2 linked regions of the Lytechinus pictus genome follow. The protein of the gene in region 1 interacts with the protein of each later gene in a pairwise test. Links are inferred from orthologs where the notes say so. Each region holds a gene or a part of one and is shown in the gene's direction. Other genes may lie near its edges.

Region 1 (7,727 bases):
CTCTGCCAGAAGTCATGCCTATTTTTTTTTTTTTTTTTACAATTTGCATGCCTCCCCCACATGGACCTGGCCACAGAGGATTAACTATTGTTACTGGGGGTGCTGTAACAATGCTCAGCACCCCCAGTAACAATAGACTAATCCTCCATGGATAGGTCCCTGCTCCCCCACTCAATGGACGCAGTCGGATGGATTTGAGGGACACCAAGGTGGGGGACTTGCAGTCTATCCTAGTTCATGCCGAACGAGTGGAAAAAGTAATATAAATGTTCGACCTCCAGTTGCTAGAATAAGCGTGACTGTTGCCTAAAACATCCCAAGTTACGAAATTAGCAACCCTATATAACGAGGATTCTAGCCAGTCACTGTTCTCATGGTTCTTGCGTATCTACAGAAGCGGATCTAGAGGGGGGGTTGGGGGGGTTGCAACCCCCCCCCAAAAAAAAACCCGGGGACCATTTTTTAAAATCTTATCTTTTTTTTAAAACTTGTAATGCAAGAAAACGCCATTTTCACACACAGATTTTCAAAAAATGTCCCTACTGTGGGAGGGGGGACACCCCCCTCCCACACCCTCCCCCCTCGCTCGCTCCGCTCGCTTGGACTCGGTCGCTACGCTCCCTCGCATACCACCCCAACCCCCCCCCCTTTATAAAAAGCTGGATCCGCCCCTGATCTATACACAACAAAAAAAGTAAGTAAATTGCTGTAACTTTTGAGCGGAATTATTTCGAGATATATTTCGTAGGTGGTTTTGTACACTCATTAAACAACTCCTGAGGAAAAATGAGATTGATCGGTTGAGTCATGCATGAGTAATTAAAGATTGAATTAAAAATGACAATTTTTGAAAGTCACAAGAGTCGTTTTTTAGATTGTGCAAATACAAAGTTGGGCAAAAGTTGTTTTTAGGTGAATTTTATGGTGTTATGATGTTTAACTATCCATCATTTAGCCACTCTACACACAATTTGATATCGTATGTTCATGGTTGAGTGAGCACAATGTATTGCAGGGGCCGCGGAAGCGGGGGAGGGGGCTGGGTCGGGAGGGCTTCAGCCTCAAGCATGTACAAAAATGTAAAAATTACCATAAGATAATGATTTTTTGCATGGTCAGCCCCCCCCCCCACGTCGAAAACCGTTCCCTGTATTGTGACGTATCATCATAGGGGTTTATGGTAGTATCTCTACAACTTGTTAGATCATGTTAAAATTTGAAAATGTTGGTGGCTCCCCCGATTATAGGCCCCTCCCCCATTTAAAATTCTGGGTCCAGCACTGATTTGTCCATAAATTAAACTGATCATGAGAAATTGTTAGGAAAAGAATACATTTATGCAGTAAAAAGAGTATTCATTCCTAAGTTTTCGAATGTGCTCGCTCAACCATGAAAATGTTTAAAGTTCGGAAAGTGTGTGGTGATAGAAATGGTGGATGATAAAAACAACAGCAATTAAAGTCACATTTGAAACCGAATTTGCCCCCAATATTCACTTTATTACCCTTTAAAATGAGTCTCTGACGTTGAAAATACTAATTTTCCCACTTTGATGCGTGCTCACTCATTCATAAATAAACAGATCGATTTCATTTTTGCACAGAATTCTGCCCATAGGTTGATAAACATTACTGCCAAATGACATTGCTAAAGACAGCCTTGGAAAAAAGTTCCACCATATTGAATAAGGGGTTAATTATTCTTAAAGATATGCACCCATAATGTACACAAGTCTATGAGAGAGGAAGTCAACATTTTAACAAATATGAAATGAGGGTTTGTTGTAATAGGTCCATGGTTTCATGGACGGTTTTTGTTACTTCTGCCAACAGTTATTTCATGAAACTTCGCACATGGCTTCAGAGTAACACTATCCAAAAGGCGCGCACACCAAAATAACCATTCGATATGGCACAGAGTGGGGACAAGGCCTTGAACTTTCTTCTCATTTGCATAATTTTCGAATATTGTGTGCTCACTGATGCATTAAACATCGGGATTTTCATAAAAATCAAATCAAATGAACTATGCAAGGAGGTTTGTGACAGATATCCATAGTTACAAATTGCATTTTTTCCAATAACGTAAAAAAGAGCTAATCACATTCCACATGTTCATTCAAGCGTGAATGTTTAATTAAACGCCTTTGAATCATTGAAGCATGTTAATTGGTCATGAACATTACGAACAAGTTGAGAAAAGATCATTTTCAGTTACCAAAATGAAACAATACTTGTCTATGATATTTGAAAATCGTATTTTTTGTTTTCAATAAATGTTTATTGAACCGTGAAATTATGAATATTGTTGAATATACTCTTCCCAAAAATAACTGTCATCATATTCTATCATTTTTATTGATAGAAATGTGTAAAAAATCCAATTATAGCAAATTTGTACTTGTGTTTATTCAACCGTGAAATTTAGCCAAAAAAGTTGTATTGTCTTTTAGAAAGTACCTTTTACAAGCCTTCTGACTATTTTTCATGATGAGAATGTGGAATTAGTTCCAATAAAATGGAATCAAAGTCATGATATTTAGCTTGTGACTTTTGAAAAGTGACATTTTTGCCTTCTGACGGTGCTCACTGATGCATGACGTAAAATACATCCATAACGTTTACTCAGAGGGTAACTTATAAAATTACCTACACGCTCATGTAAAAATATATTAAAAACTAGCATTGGTTCGGAAATTATTGATGTTTGTTTGAGGGGGGACTTACATTTTTTGTTGTGTATATATAGCTAGCTAGAAAAAAAATATTTGGAGAATAATGATTGTGCAGTAGTAAACTTGCTCATTGATCATGTTGATGAAACTGTTAAAACTTCTGCAAAAAGTTGTGCCCTAATTGTCTCCTCACCACAAGGGATGTGCCTATATAGGGCCTATACAGTGCGTATAAAAAACGGGACAGATTTGAAAAGTCTATACAATTTTTGTTTCAAATTATGATCTCTATATTTTGGTGTTAATAGGTGCTCTGGGGTCTTATCCTTCAAATGTTATTTTTAAAAATAGTTTTGTTCATGCTTGAGCGAACACGGAATGTTTTTGTCTGGGGTTAAAAAGGAGGCTTGCGCCAAAATGGCATCAAATGATAAATATGATGGTCGGACTTCTTGCTAATCAGCAGACTTCCTCTTAACCTTTTCATTATCTTTGCCATAATTTTCGAATTATGCGGTCAAAATTCATTTCCAAGTCTACTTATTTGCTTGAATATTTCTGTTGTTCCTTTTTAAAATGTTATCTTTTAGCTTTGAATATTCCTTCTTTAGGCAAGAACAATTTTTTTTAAACCGAAGTATGGGAGAGCTTTTATTTCCCTTCAAATCCTTTCATTGTGTGCTACAAAAGGTTATGGTGCCTTTGAACTGTGGCATACTGATGGATGGGGGCTCGGGGTGCTCCCCCAAAAAAATTAAAAGAAAATCATGACCAAGAAAAAAAAAGGTGGAAAGAAAAATAACAGAAAACATAGAAAGTGAAATATGATATCATATTCTGAATATTATGTCAAAATCACAAAATTTGATATTTTTTTATGAAAAAGTGGAAATTTTTGCTTGCTCGCTTCGATCTGCCATATCTTGTTCCTTCAAAATTGACTCAATACACCATTGCCATTGAAAGACATGAATCCTTTCCTGTTTGTCCTGTCAAGCACATAATTAAACTTTTTGAAGGATTCAATAACCCCTTGAAAATAGGATTCATGTCTTTTATACGTACCATAACATAATTTGTTTCACATAATAAAAGGATTTGAATAATTACAAATTCTCCCAATTAATAATGCAAATCTCCCTACTTGGGTTGACAAAGAGTCTTCTTTTCTTACTTATGAAGGAAAATTCAAAGGTAAAAGAAGTTTAAATGAAAAACAAAATAATTCAGGTAAATAAATAAATTTGTAAATGAAATTTGACAGCATAATTCGAAAATTATGGCAAAGATAATGAAAAGATTAAGAGAAAGTCTGCTTATTAGCCAAGAGTCTAATCATCAAATTTCTCATTTCTGCCATTTTGGCGCCATTTTTGAACCCCCGACAAAAACGTCCCGTGTTCGTTCAAGCATGAACAACATTTATTTTTTTAAATGGCATTTCAAAGATAAGATCTCAGAGCATCTATTAACATCAAAATATAGATATAATATTTTGAAACAAATTTTTATAGACTTTTCAAAACTGTCCCGTTTTTTAAAATACGCACTGTATAGGATTGAAGTTTTTATTAAACAAGGTCGAGGTCATGCATGATACCGTCCTCTGCACAAGTCGACTTCCATAGGTCGAGTCGACGAATTCCCCGAACGCGATCTTCTAAGTCGAACAGATATTCATGGTCCCAAGAGATTCGACTTAGGCAGAGTCTCGTATAATTAGGCCTACATTACTTTTGATTTTTTTTTTTTTTTTTTTTTTTTTTTAGTTTTTAATTTTTAATGAATATTTCATGGGAAACAATAAAGTGTCTCGCCGCTCGCGGTACGTGGGTCGTAGTTTCAGAACGGGGTGTAAGCACTGAGCTGAAAACAACGCATTTCCAGTTCAGTGGGTTTGGTTTGGTTTAAGGTTTACAGTGCCGTGTTGGGAATCGCACCCCGGACTTTCATGTGTACCGGGCATGTGTGGCGGGTGCTCAGACCACTCGCCCACATCGGCAACCCAATTCAGTGTGAGCCCTCTGCGGTGAAAAAAGGACATTAGTGCAGCTCTCGAAGATCGTGCATGTCTTTATTGAAATCGAGTTGAAAAATTAGAACATTGTCAGCTTGATTATCTAGGCCTTAACTGTTTTGTTTGTTTCCTGTACTTTTTTAGTTGAATATCAGAAAATGGGGATTCTAGAGAAGATAGCTGAGATAGAGAGGGAAATCGCAAGGACGCAGAAAAATAAAGGTAAGTATGCTCGTGTGGTGGAAGGGCGATCGAGGGACTAATTGTTGGTGCACGGGAGAAGGTCCCGCGGAGTTGCTCTGCGAGGGCCGGCTAAGGAGCTCCGGGCCGGGCGAATGCAACTCCCAATATATTCAGCAATAATATGCGGGATACGTAGACTTGACATCAACACTTGATTGTGGGCGTCAACAACAGACAATGTCTTGAGTTGAGTTAAATTGAAATAAAACTAAACTTTAATTTATTCTGACATAGGCCTAGACACTAGTAAGATAGACACTAATTTTTTTTTTCTTTGCATTTAAAAAAGGACAAGTCCACCCCAACAAACATGACAAAAAATTTGTCCTTATTGTCAAATCTATAAAATATGAAATATTGTATAATTCAAACAATAAAAAACAGAAGAAATAGTGAGTGATGGACATCATCAACCGAGTCACCTAGTTGTGTGTATCACTGTTTTGTGAAAAATAATCAAAACTTTAAAATGTCATAACTTTCTTATAGACATTTTTACATCCGATTTTGATTAAATTTTCAGCACTATGCTAGTTTGATTTTTCTCTATTTATTCAAGGCAGCATTTTCCTGGGGTGGACTTGACCTTTAAGAATGGGTGGGGGATGGGGGGTCACAGACTGAGCAAAGTGGTATACCCAGCCATTTGTTGTGTTTCCAGACGATCAATTTTAGAAAGTTGGAAATTTGGAAAAATTTACAAGCAAAGTTTCATCAACTTTTAGTACAAAATGTTAGGAAATATTATAGAGAACAAAATAGAAGATGATTACAACTATTGAATTCATGTTTTTAGTGTGATCCAAAGACAAAAAAGAAGGCTTCAAAAATATAAAGTGTCCAGATACCCGACCCCCCCCCCCCCCCCCATCCTACCCATGGTCGTCCAAGCATCTAAGAATTGAACGTTAACTGGCTTCATCCCTGGCCCTGACTAATTCTGGGCTTCCATTGGTGTCAATTTCTACTCATAAACTATGTAGATCTATTAAAATGACAATATTTTTTTTTTTGTAAAAGGTACCCTTAATTTTTAAATGGGGCTTTTAGTTTTACATCAAAATAAATGGTGCAAATGTCAAAGAACCTGTTAAAAAGTAAATTTAAAAAAAAATGTTGAATGGGTTTGAAATCTGACCCTTTTTCGACTCCTTAGGGGGACATGCATGGTTACCATATATCAGCCCATGAGTGAGTTCATTGTCACTTTTATAAATTTATCTGCATCCGCAAGGTAAAAAAAGTGGAAACAAGGTGTTTTTTTCAGGGGTAGAATGTAAAAAGTGGCTGAACAATTGTAAAAACCTCCCAGATCATGATGATGTACAATGCAAAAAGGTATGTAATTAATTCACACCGACTGCTGCGAGACTGACTTTTACAAGACCTGTGATCCAAAATCCTCTAAACCACCATGCCCAATAAAAGGTCCAGTTAGAAATGCAATCGATAATCCCTCATCTCAAACCTGAACGCAAATCCCCATTTTGCATACTTGCAATTTCAGCTTACATTTAATCCCATGTCTAGTCTCAGTCCCCCTTGTGTAAAGCCAGACATTGGATTAGGCTCTCAAACCAGGTATGATATGGGAATAGAATATTTGTAATTTGTAAAGGAACCCCTATTTCGGGTGTGGAAATCTTGGACATCTGCACAAAGTCTCTGTTAAATGTGCCCTACAGGCCTGCCATTGAATTATCCTTTTTTTTTTTTTTTTTTTAGGACGACTCTCGTGGATGCTGTCCTCTCAGATGTTCCCGCGAAAGGAATCTAAACTAGATCTTTCTATGTTGAGTCTAGTCGAAAAAGACTTTAGATCCCTCTTTATTTAGTTTAAGGGGCCAAATTCATTTTAATTGAAATATGAATTAAAAGTCGACAATAAGTCACCAGTCCATTCATGTATTTTATCAATGCTGGTGACGTCCTTCCACACAATTTAATTTTTACACAATGAGAGCATGTATACACACGTACATACAAGAAGCTAGAAGAGAGGCGGCAAATTTCATGATAATAATTGAGGCCTCGAATTATATTCCAAAACATTGAAATATCAATTTAGGAATATTTTTCAAACTTGAAAGGAACTCCAGGCAACAATAACATTATCGAATAATTTGAGATACCTGGTGATGTAACATGTAGAATTATTAGTATTATGGACTTTTTCAACATCAATGTCAAGTTGAAATGTACATTCTTTCAATATCGTATTCCTACCCAATCTTTGTATGCTAGCAACGGAATACCATCTGGGTCTGTTGAAAGCCAAGCTTGCCAAGTACAGGTCTCAACTTTTGGAACCTACAGGAAAGAGTGGAGCCAAGGTTAGTCAAACTAATACAGTGATAAAACTATTAAAGCTTACTTTTTGGTGCAATAACAACACTGCTTAATATTCAGTTAGCATAGTGAGATATTTTATAATATAGACAAATTTTATCAATGTACAGTGCACAGGCTGAATTCAAGTCAATATGATCATTAGGGGTGGTCATGGTGTACGTTTAAAAAAAAAAAAATGTCCTTCATGTTTAGAGGGAGAGGGTTTTGAAGTGATGAAATTAGGAGATACCAGAGTACAGGTATCACACTTGTTTTGATTTGCTCTTAATAGAACCTTAGGAAGCACTGGTGTAAATCCTTGCATCACACCTATTGTTCAGGGGGGTGATCTATTTTTCCACCCCCCCCCCCCTTGAATTGCATGATGTTACAGATTTATGCCTAAGTTAGAAAGAGCATCTGTATTATGATTTAGTGTATAATTTTAGTGTGATCATGGTG
Region 2 (7,627 bases), on another chromosome or scaffold:
TCACATCCTACCGGGTACCCATTTAGCACCTGGGTCGAGAGTGGCAAAGTGTGGATTAACGCCTTGCCAAAGGACGCCAGACCGCGGTGGGATTCGTACACACGACCCTCTGTTTACAAGGCGAGAGTCAGAACCACTACACCACGGCTCCTCCATGTGTATTTAACTACGATAGGGATTATAAGAATTAACGCGAGCGCGAAGGGCGAGCTGATTTTTTTACTATGCTGACCAGAAAAGGAACCTGTGACCCATGAATAAGATACTCCGATTGAATAATATGCGAGGGCGAAGCGTGAGCTGAAAGTTTGTGACATTTCAACCTGAAAACCGGATATTCTAAGCATTTGTTTAGTATACAGGAACAGAATGGGTAACTTAAACAATAATTGATGAGAGAGCGAAATGTGACTAAAAAATGTGTAATATTCAAAGCTGAAAACTGTACATTCTAAGCATATTTGTAACCATGAACAGGATTTGAGTGTAGAGTGTACCTTAAGCCCCTTTCACAATTGACGTACGACCACTTGCGACCTTTTGGTCGTGCGACAGGCTGCAACAGGCATCAATCGCCAGTCATCTCATAATATCGCACATAGGCTTTCACAGTTGCAACAGCTGTCGTACAACAAAAACAACCAGTAAAACCCGTTGCACGAGTAAGTCGATTATGATCCTATTGTGCTCGTGCGATCACATGCGAGTGTTGCACGAGGGATTGCGAGGGGAACGGTCGCACACAACGGTAGTGCAATGTTGTAAGCCGTTGCGATCGGTCTTGCAACAGTCTTATGGCACATCATATTATCGCACCCAGTCGCAAGACAGGTCTCTGTACATGTAGGTCGCTAGCACATGTGCAAGTGTTGTACGACCTCCAGTCGAGTAAATGCGACTACTTAGTTGTGCCACCTCTCGCACCAAGTCGTGCAACGTTGAACAACACTCCCACGATGATCGCCCGACCGATGGTACGACCCCGGATACGAGCTGATGCGAGTGAATCGGTCGTATTTGATCGCGTTCGGATTTTGAACATGTTCAAAGTTCAGATGTGACCAGTCACGACCACCTCGAGTTCGTGCGACCGTCTACAACGACTGCGAGTGCTCGCAAGTCACCAAGAGATCGATCGTGCAACAGCAGAAAAAAAACTGTTGCAGGCGGTCGTAAACTGGTCGGATGTCAATTGTGAAAGGGGCTGTACGGTCGCATACATGCGAATGCAACGGTAGTGGAATGTTGTAAGCCGTAATTTCGATCGGTCTTGCAACAGTCTTATATTATCGCAACCAGTCGCAAGACTGGTCTCTGTAGGTATCTAGCGCATGTGCAAGTGTTGTACGACCTCCAGTCGACTAAATGCGACTATACGTAGTTGTGTCACCTCTCGCACCAAGTCGTACAACGTTGAACAACACTCACACGATGATCGCCCGACCGATGGTACGACCTGATGCGAGTAAACCAATCGTATTTGATCGCGTTTGGATTTTGAACATGTTCAGATTCAGATGCGACCAGTCACGACCACCTCCGACCACCTCAAATTCGTGCGTTCGTCTACAACCACTGCGAGTGCTCGCAAGACACCAAGAGATCGATCGTGCAACAACAAGAAAAATCTGTTGCAGGCGGTCGTAAACAGGTCGTACGTCAATTGTGAAAGGGGCTTTACTAAACAACAATTGATGCGATCGCGAAGCGCGATCCAATTTTTGTTTTATTTTCTAACTTAATGTATAAGCTTTTACTTAAAAAAAAACGGTATTTCATTTTGAAAAAAAAAAATCTTTCCTGCGGAGGGGGGGGGGGGGGGGGGCAAGTGTCGCCCTTTCCGTCGCCCCTGCGCTGGGCTGATTATTTCCTTTGTTTAGCGAACTTATGTGATTTCTGATCAAACGTAGTTCTTTGAACACACCCACCATGCCCACGTGCACTGTCACCACAGATATACACCCGTCACTCAGTCCAAATACACTATCATGACAGACATGTCACGCACATCGTTCTAATCAGGCCCTTTTATGTAATTTACACACCCACATTTGACACACACCCTTCTACTCATGCACCCTCTCACGTATTTAACACACCCACATGCACCCATCACAAAAACACACATACTTCTTTCTAATCAGGCCCTCACGTAATTACACCCCGCATAAATTCTCATCACAGAAATAACACACACCCTTCCACTCAAGCCCAAGCAGAATGAACACACCCACGTATATTCTCTTCTCAGGCCCTCATGTAATGAACACACCCACACATTCTCTTCACAGACGGAGACACACACCCTTCCACTCGGGCCCAAGTAGAATGAACACACCCACGTATGTTCTCTTCTCAGGCCCTCACATATAATGAACACACCCACACATTCTCTTCACAGATGGAGACATGCACACACCCTTCCACTCGGGCCCAAGTAGAATGAACACACCCACGTATGTTCTCTTCTCAGGTCCTCACATATAATGAACACACCCACACATTCTCTTCACAGACGGAGACACACACCCTTCCACTCACGCCCAAGCAGAATGAACACACCCACGTATATTCTCTTCTCAGGTCCTCACATATAATGAACACACCCATACATTCTCTTCACAGACGGAGACACATACCGGGCCCAAGTAGAATTAACACACCCACGTATGTTCTCTTCTCAGGTCCTCACATATAATGAACACACCCACACATTCTCTTCACAGACGGAGACACACAACAATTCACACACACATATAACCACCCACCCATCCACACACACACAAATGGGGAAATACAATCATCGGATATGCATTACGACAATGGGTGTAGCGTATATCTTGATAACATTATTTTATATCCCAATCAAAGTATCTTTTCTTTCCTTATATCAGGTCGGTGTATATCACATTTCAACTCGCGTTTCGTGCTCATGGTGCTAAAATTTATTGTTTGTTTTATTTAATGAGATAGGCATATGTATTCAGGTCACAAATGCTTTATCATCTTTTCAACTCGATGTATAAACAGAAATCAGCACTGCGCTTCGCGCTCGCATTACGGTTAGAAAATTATGTTAATGGGTGAAAAGGTCCCATTTCGATCAGGTCACAATACCAAGAAATTGTGATACGCACTCGCATTGTTTTCGTAATCATGAATGCAATAAAAGTGCTTAAAATTATCCCCTTTCAGGTATTATTAAGAATTATATCTCATACTTCGCGCGTAAGAATTGCATGGCCTATATTATTTTGTTTGTAAAATAAGGCTAAAAGTACTTACATCAGCCATTAGAGCCATTGTGGACACAAAATGCTAAGTACTGCTGACTTATTTGATCGGCATAATATCTACATGTCTACATATGCACTTTAAATCAATTTTATTAGAGTTTACTTTGATTTTCATTATGTTTCCTGCATTTAATTCAATTTGTTCAAGTCCCCCTTTTCATACGAACTTCACTCAAGAAAAACGCAAAGAGTGAAGCGTGAGCTCATTCGTCTTATTTTGTTATTTATTTATTTATGTTTGTTTCTTTGTTTGTTTTTTGCTTCCTTTTTTATTGATAATTCGGACCTGATAGGGATAACGAGTCAATGTTTATGCACCCTTATTTAGTTATCATGAACATGATGATTGTAACATACTAATTAATATGCAAAGCGCAAGCTATTTCTTTTCTTTCTTTCTTCTGCATATTGGCTTGAAAACGAGACATTTTTAGGCCCGTGCCAAAAAATCCTCATGAATAGGAAACTTAATTATTTATATTTTTTTTTCTTTTCAAGCAGGCAATGCGATGCAAAGCTCGAGTGAAATTATTATTTTGATTGACCTGAAAGTTTTCTTTTGCCAATTTCTTCTTCTCCCTCGTGCCCCTGGATACATCTGCTTAATTCGTTTGTCTATTCTGTATAGTAAATGAAATTTTCTTAAAGGTCAAGTCTACCCCAGGAAAATGCTGACTTGAATAAATAGAAAAAAATCAAACTAACATAGTGCTGAAAATTTCATCAAAATCGGATGTAAAATAAGAAAGTTATGACATTTTAAAGTATCGCTTATTTTTCACAAAACAGTGATATGCACAACTAAGCGTCCCCGTCGATGATGTCCATCACTCACTATTTCTTTTGTTTTTTATTCTTTGAATTATACAATATTTCATTTTTTATAGATTTGACAATAAGGAACAACTTGACTGAACCATATAGTATTAAACAATGCTAATTCCACATGTTCAGGGAGGAATTAATCGTTGTATCACTTGACAATGAGGAGAAAATTAATTATATTTCATATTTCATATAATAAAATACAAAAGAAATAGTGAGTGTACACCGTGGCGTACAAGGAAAAAAATGTTCGCTCGCTCCAAAATTACAAACTGTGAAGTTGATATTTGGGCAATTATTATCAGCCTCCCCCCTATATACGTCCATGCCTACTATCCCCCACCTTGATCATCCTTGTCGCTTGCCCCCCCTGACGAAATATGCCAGGTACGCCACTGCCCCCCCCCCCTCAAACTCAAAGTTCCAACTTTCGAGAGAGAACCAAGCCATAGATTTTTTTTCTTCAGTTTTCTATTTTCATCGTCAACGACACCTTATCATGCTTACACACACATGAGTACGAACCGGATTGTAGAAAATATAAAGAAATATTTTGGAACTCCTTGCTTTACAAGCAGACTTTAGAGTTTATGGTGGTTTCAACGACTAAAAATACAAATGACTGACTACAAGGAGGAGCAAGTCAATGAAATTGAAGCCTTAGAATCAATATATCCAGATGAATTTTCGGGTAAGTTTTCCGCGAGTTGTCAAACTTTTTGTAACGTTCGTTTTTTTTTCATAGTCCCACATATTGCCACGTGTGTGTGTCAGTGTTTTTTGTTTAAACAGAATTTACGTCTGGGGAGACTGGGACCGATCTTTAAAAAATTATGTGGAAAGACGTGACTAGCCAGGAGGCCCCTAGCAGGGTGACCAGTTTCACAAAATGAAATACGGGACGATTAACAAAGCACAATCAAATGCTCCAGCGGATCGACCAAGCAAGGCTGAAGTCTTGAAGAAGGCTCCAAGCCGGATAAACCACTCCTAGTACCAATGAGGTCCAAACATTAACATGTATGGACCTCATAGGCGACAATGCGTTAAAAACAGGTTAGAACTTCTAAACGTACTGTTTCCTGCACCCAAGTATGATATTACTCCCAAAATATGAGTTTTGTCCTCGTTTGTTTATCATTTATTAAAAGATTGCCCATTAAATATATTCCTATTCCTAATTTGAATTTAATAAAATAAAGGAAAACTTACATTTGAGTCATTTTCGATCTTTTTTTGGCAGTCAGTCCGGTCACCGTCGAGTGCGATCAAAGCGGTATGAAGCTGATTTTCAGATCACGTGATACGTGTGGTCATCACCTGATCAATCGACTATCCTTTTTTAAAGACCGCAACAATTATACATTTTATTATAAAATATATATAGAATGAATAATTGCATGATATTATATATATTTCTACAATTAAAAATATTTTGTGATATGAATTTAATATTTGACGTAAAAATCGCTATTTAACAAAATATTTATTAAAAATAAAAAATCAAACAAAATAAAAACGCCTTGGACACAGTGCAAAAAACCTAACAATTTGGCCGCGTTCTTAACAACTATCGTAAGGGGCGCTCTATTTATAAATAAAGTTGCATATGTAGCTGTCTACCGCGACAGGAACAGCCGCAGAATTGAAGCCAGAAGCGTGGGAAATTGCCAGAAAATTCAAGAAAAGAACCGGTGAGTACCGATTTAACAGTACTAATTTATTAAGTAACATTTATTGAATCATTACAAGATTTATTTTTTAGTAAAACAAAGCTTAGTTCTAAGCTAGGGCGGCCCAAATGCGCGTGAGTGGAGTCCCAGTTTATTAGCACGGGTAAGTATTGGGGTGTCGCCTAGAGTGGGATAAACTATAGTCTAGAATATCGACCGAGCGATTATTTTTTAATAATTAAAAAATCAACAAAGTCAGAGAAGGCTGCACAATGTTTAAAAAATCATAAAGAAAAGGAACGAACAACAAGAAAAGGAAGGGAGATTGAACAAAAGAATGAAGGAGAGAAAGAAAAGAGATTAATTGAGAGGAAGAAAGAAAAAAATTAAGGGGAAAATGAAGGAAAAAAGAAAGAAAGAAAGTTAGAATTATAGAAAGAAGGATGAAAGAAAGAATAAAAAAGAAAGAAAAGGGGTTTCTGTCATTCTTTGAAATGAACAAGAAAGAAAGGGAAAATGAATGTGTGAAAGATAAAATAAAAAGGAGAGAAAAGAAAAAGAAAGTAAGAAAAAAGGAGGAAGAAAAAAATACATGAAGGAAAGAAAAATGTTTCCTTCATTCTTTGAAAGAAACAAAGAAAAACAGGAGGGGAGGAAGGAAGGGAAAGAAAAAATAAGGGAAAAAAATTAGAAGGACACACATAAAATAAAGAAAGAAAGGATGAAAGAGTGGGAAGACAGAATGAAGGGAGGAGAGAATCTGAGAATCTGCTCCAATCGATCCTACGCCTAGCTAGTAGCCTGCCACACATAGGCAGGGGCCCGTTTCTCAACACCGTCATAAGTCTAACTTTGACTAAATCGAAGATAGTGAGCTACTTGTCCGCTAACCGTTTCACGAAGCCCTCTTTGCCAAGATCGGGGACAACAACCTGACTAAATATTTATGACACCTCCGAACCTGTCATAACTTCTTTCTTAATGACGTAGTGTAGGGACAGTGATTTTCCGTTTCAAAAAATTGCCTTTTCCGTTTCAGAAAATCTCAAATTCCGTTTCAGCATGTCAGAAAACGGAAATTCCGTTTCCCCATAGACTTTGTACACACGGAAAAGTGACAATTCCGTTTACACATTGAATAGCACTCGCACTGGTCAAAATTTGTATCTGCTACTGTACCAACAACACAATAGAATCCGTTCTAATCGTATCTATCCGGGTGCATAAAATATTTTTACAAACCCATTTAGCATGCATACATCCTCACCTTTCACATTATTAGCATTATTTCACGGTGAAATGATATTTCATCGATAATTTTGGGGGTTTTTGGACATCGTTATCATCAGTCAACGGCTTTTGCCAATCCGCCATCTTGGATTTTAAGACCACGATATTGTGCTGTTACATCTTCAAACGTAGAGGGCAGCAACACACGACCGTGTAGTTGAACGATATGTGTGCATGTGAAGCCCAACCCGGCGCCGGCCGGCCGGGTACGGGTACGGTGTGCGGGGTACAATCGAGTGTGCTGATGTCGAGTACAGTCACGATGTGTGAATTGTCATGATAGTAGCGAAGTGAGATCGTGTTTTCTGGGGGTTTGTGGCCATTTAATATTCTCATTTTGTTGTGATATTGGAATAATTTCTGTTGCTATTCTATGTATTTTGAGGGAAAATACATTTTCCGTGATTTTCCGTTTGAAATGCCACTTTCCGTTTCAAAAGGCCCTTTCCGTGAATTCCGTCCGTTTTCCGCGATCGCGGAAAATCACTGTCCCTAGTAGTGGCATCACGTGGGTAGACTATGACATGCAAAAGTGCCTCGAAA

The links. The genes of interacting proteins can lie anywhere in the genome.
Region 2: the proteins of developmentally-regulated GTP-binding protein 2-like (region 1) and RWD domain-containing protein 1-like interact in binary tests that used the Homo sapiens proteins (3 or more experiments, as listed by UniProt). The link is inferred for Lytechinus pictus from reciprocal best matches to the Homo sapiens genes DRG2 and RWDD1.

Annotation. Positions count from the first base shown.
Region 1 is NC_087254.1:35,189,876-35,197,602, reverse strand, and holds the start of developmentally-regulated GTP-binding protein 2-like, read left to right. Parts: upstream 1-4,702; 5' UTR 4,703-4,849; coding exon 4,850-4,913; intron 4,914-7,178; coding exon 7,179-7,267; intron 7,268-7,727. UniProt on the Homo sapiens protein: Catalyzes the conversion of GTP to GDP through hydrolysis of the gamma-phosphate bond in GTP. When hydroxylated at C-3 of 'Lys-21' by JMJD7, may bind to RNA and play a role in translation.
Region 2 is NC_087248.1:28,080,667-28,088,293, reverse strand, and holds the start of RWD domain-containing protein 1-like, read left to right. Parts: upstream 1-4,612; 5' UTR 4,613-4,739; coding exon 4,740-4,812; intron 4,813-7,627. UniProt on the Homo sapiens protein: Protects DRG2 from proteolytic degradation.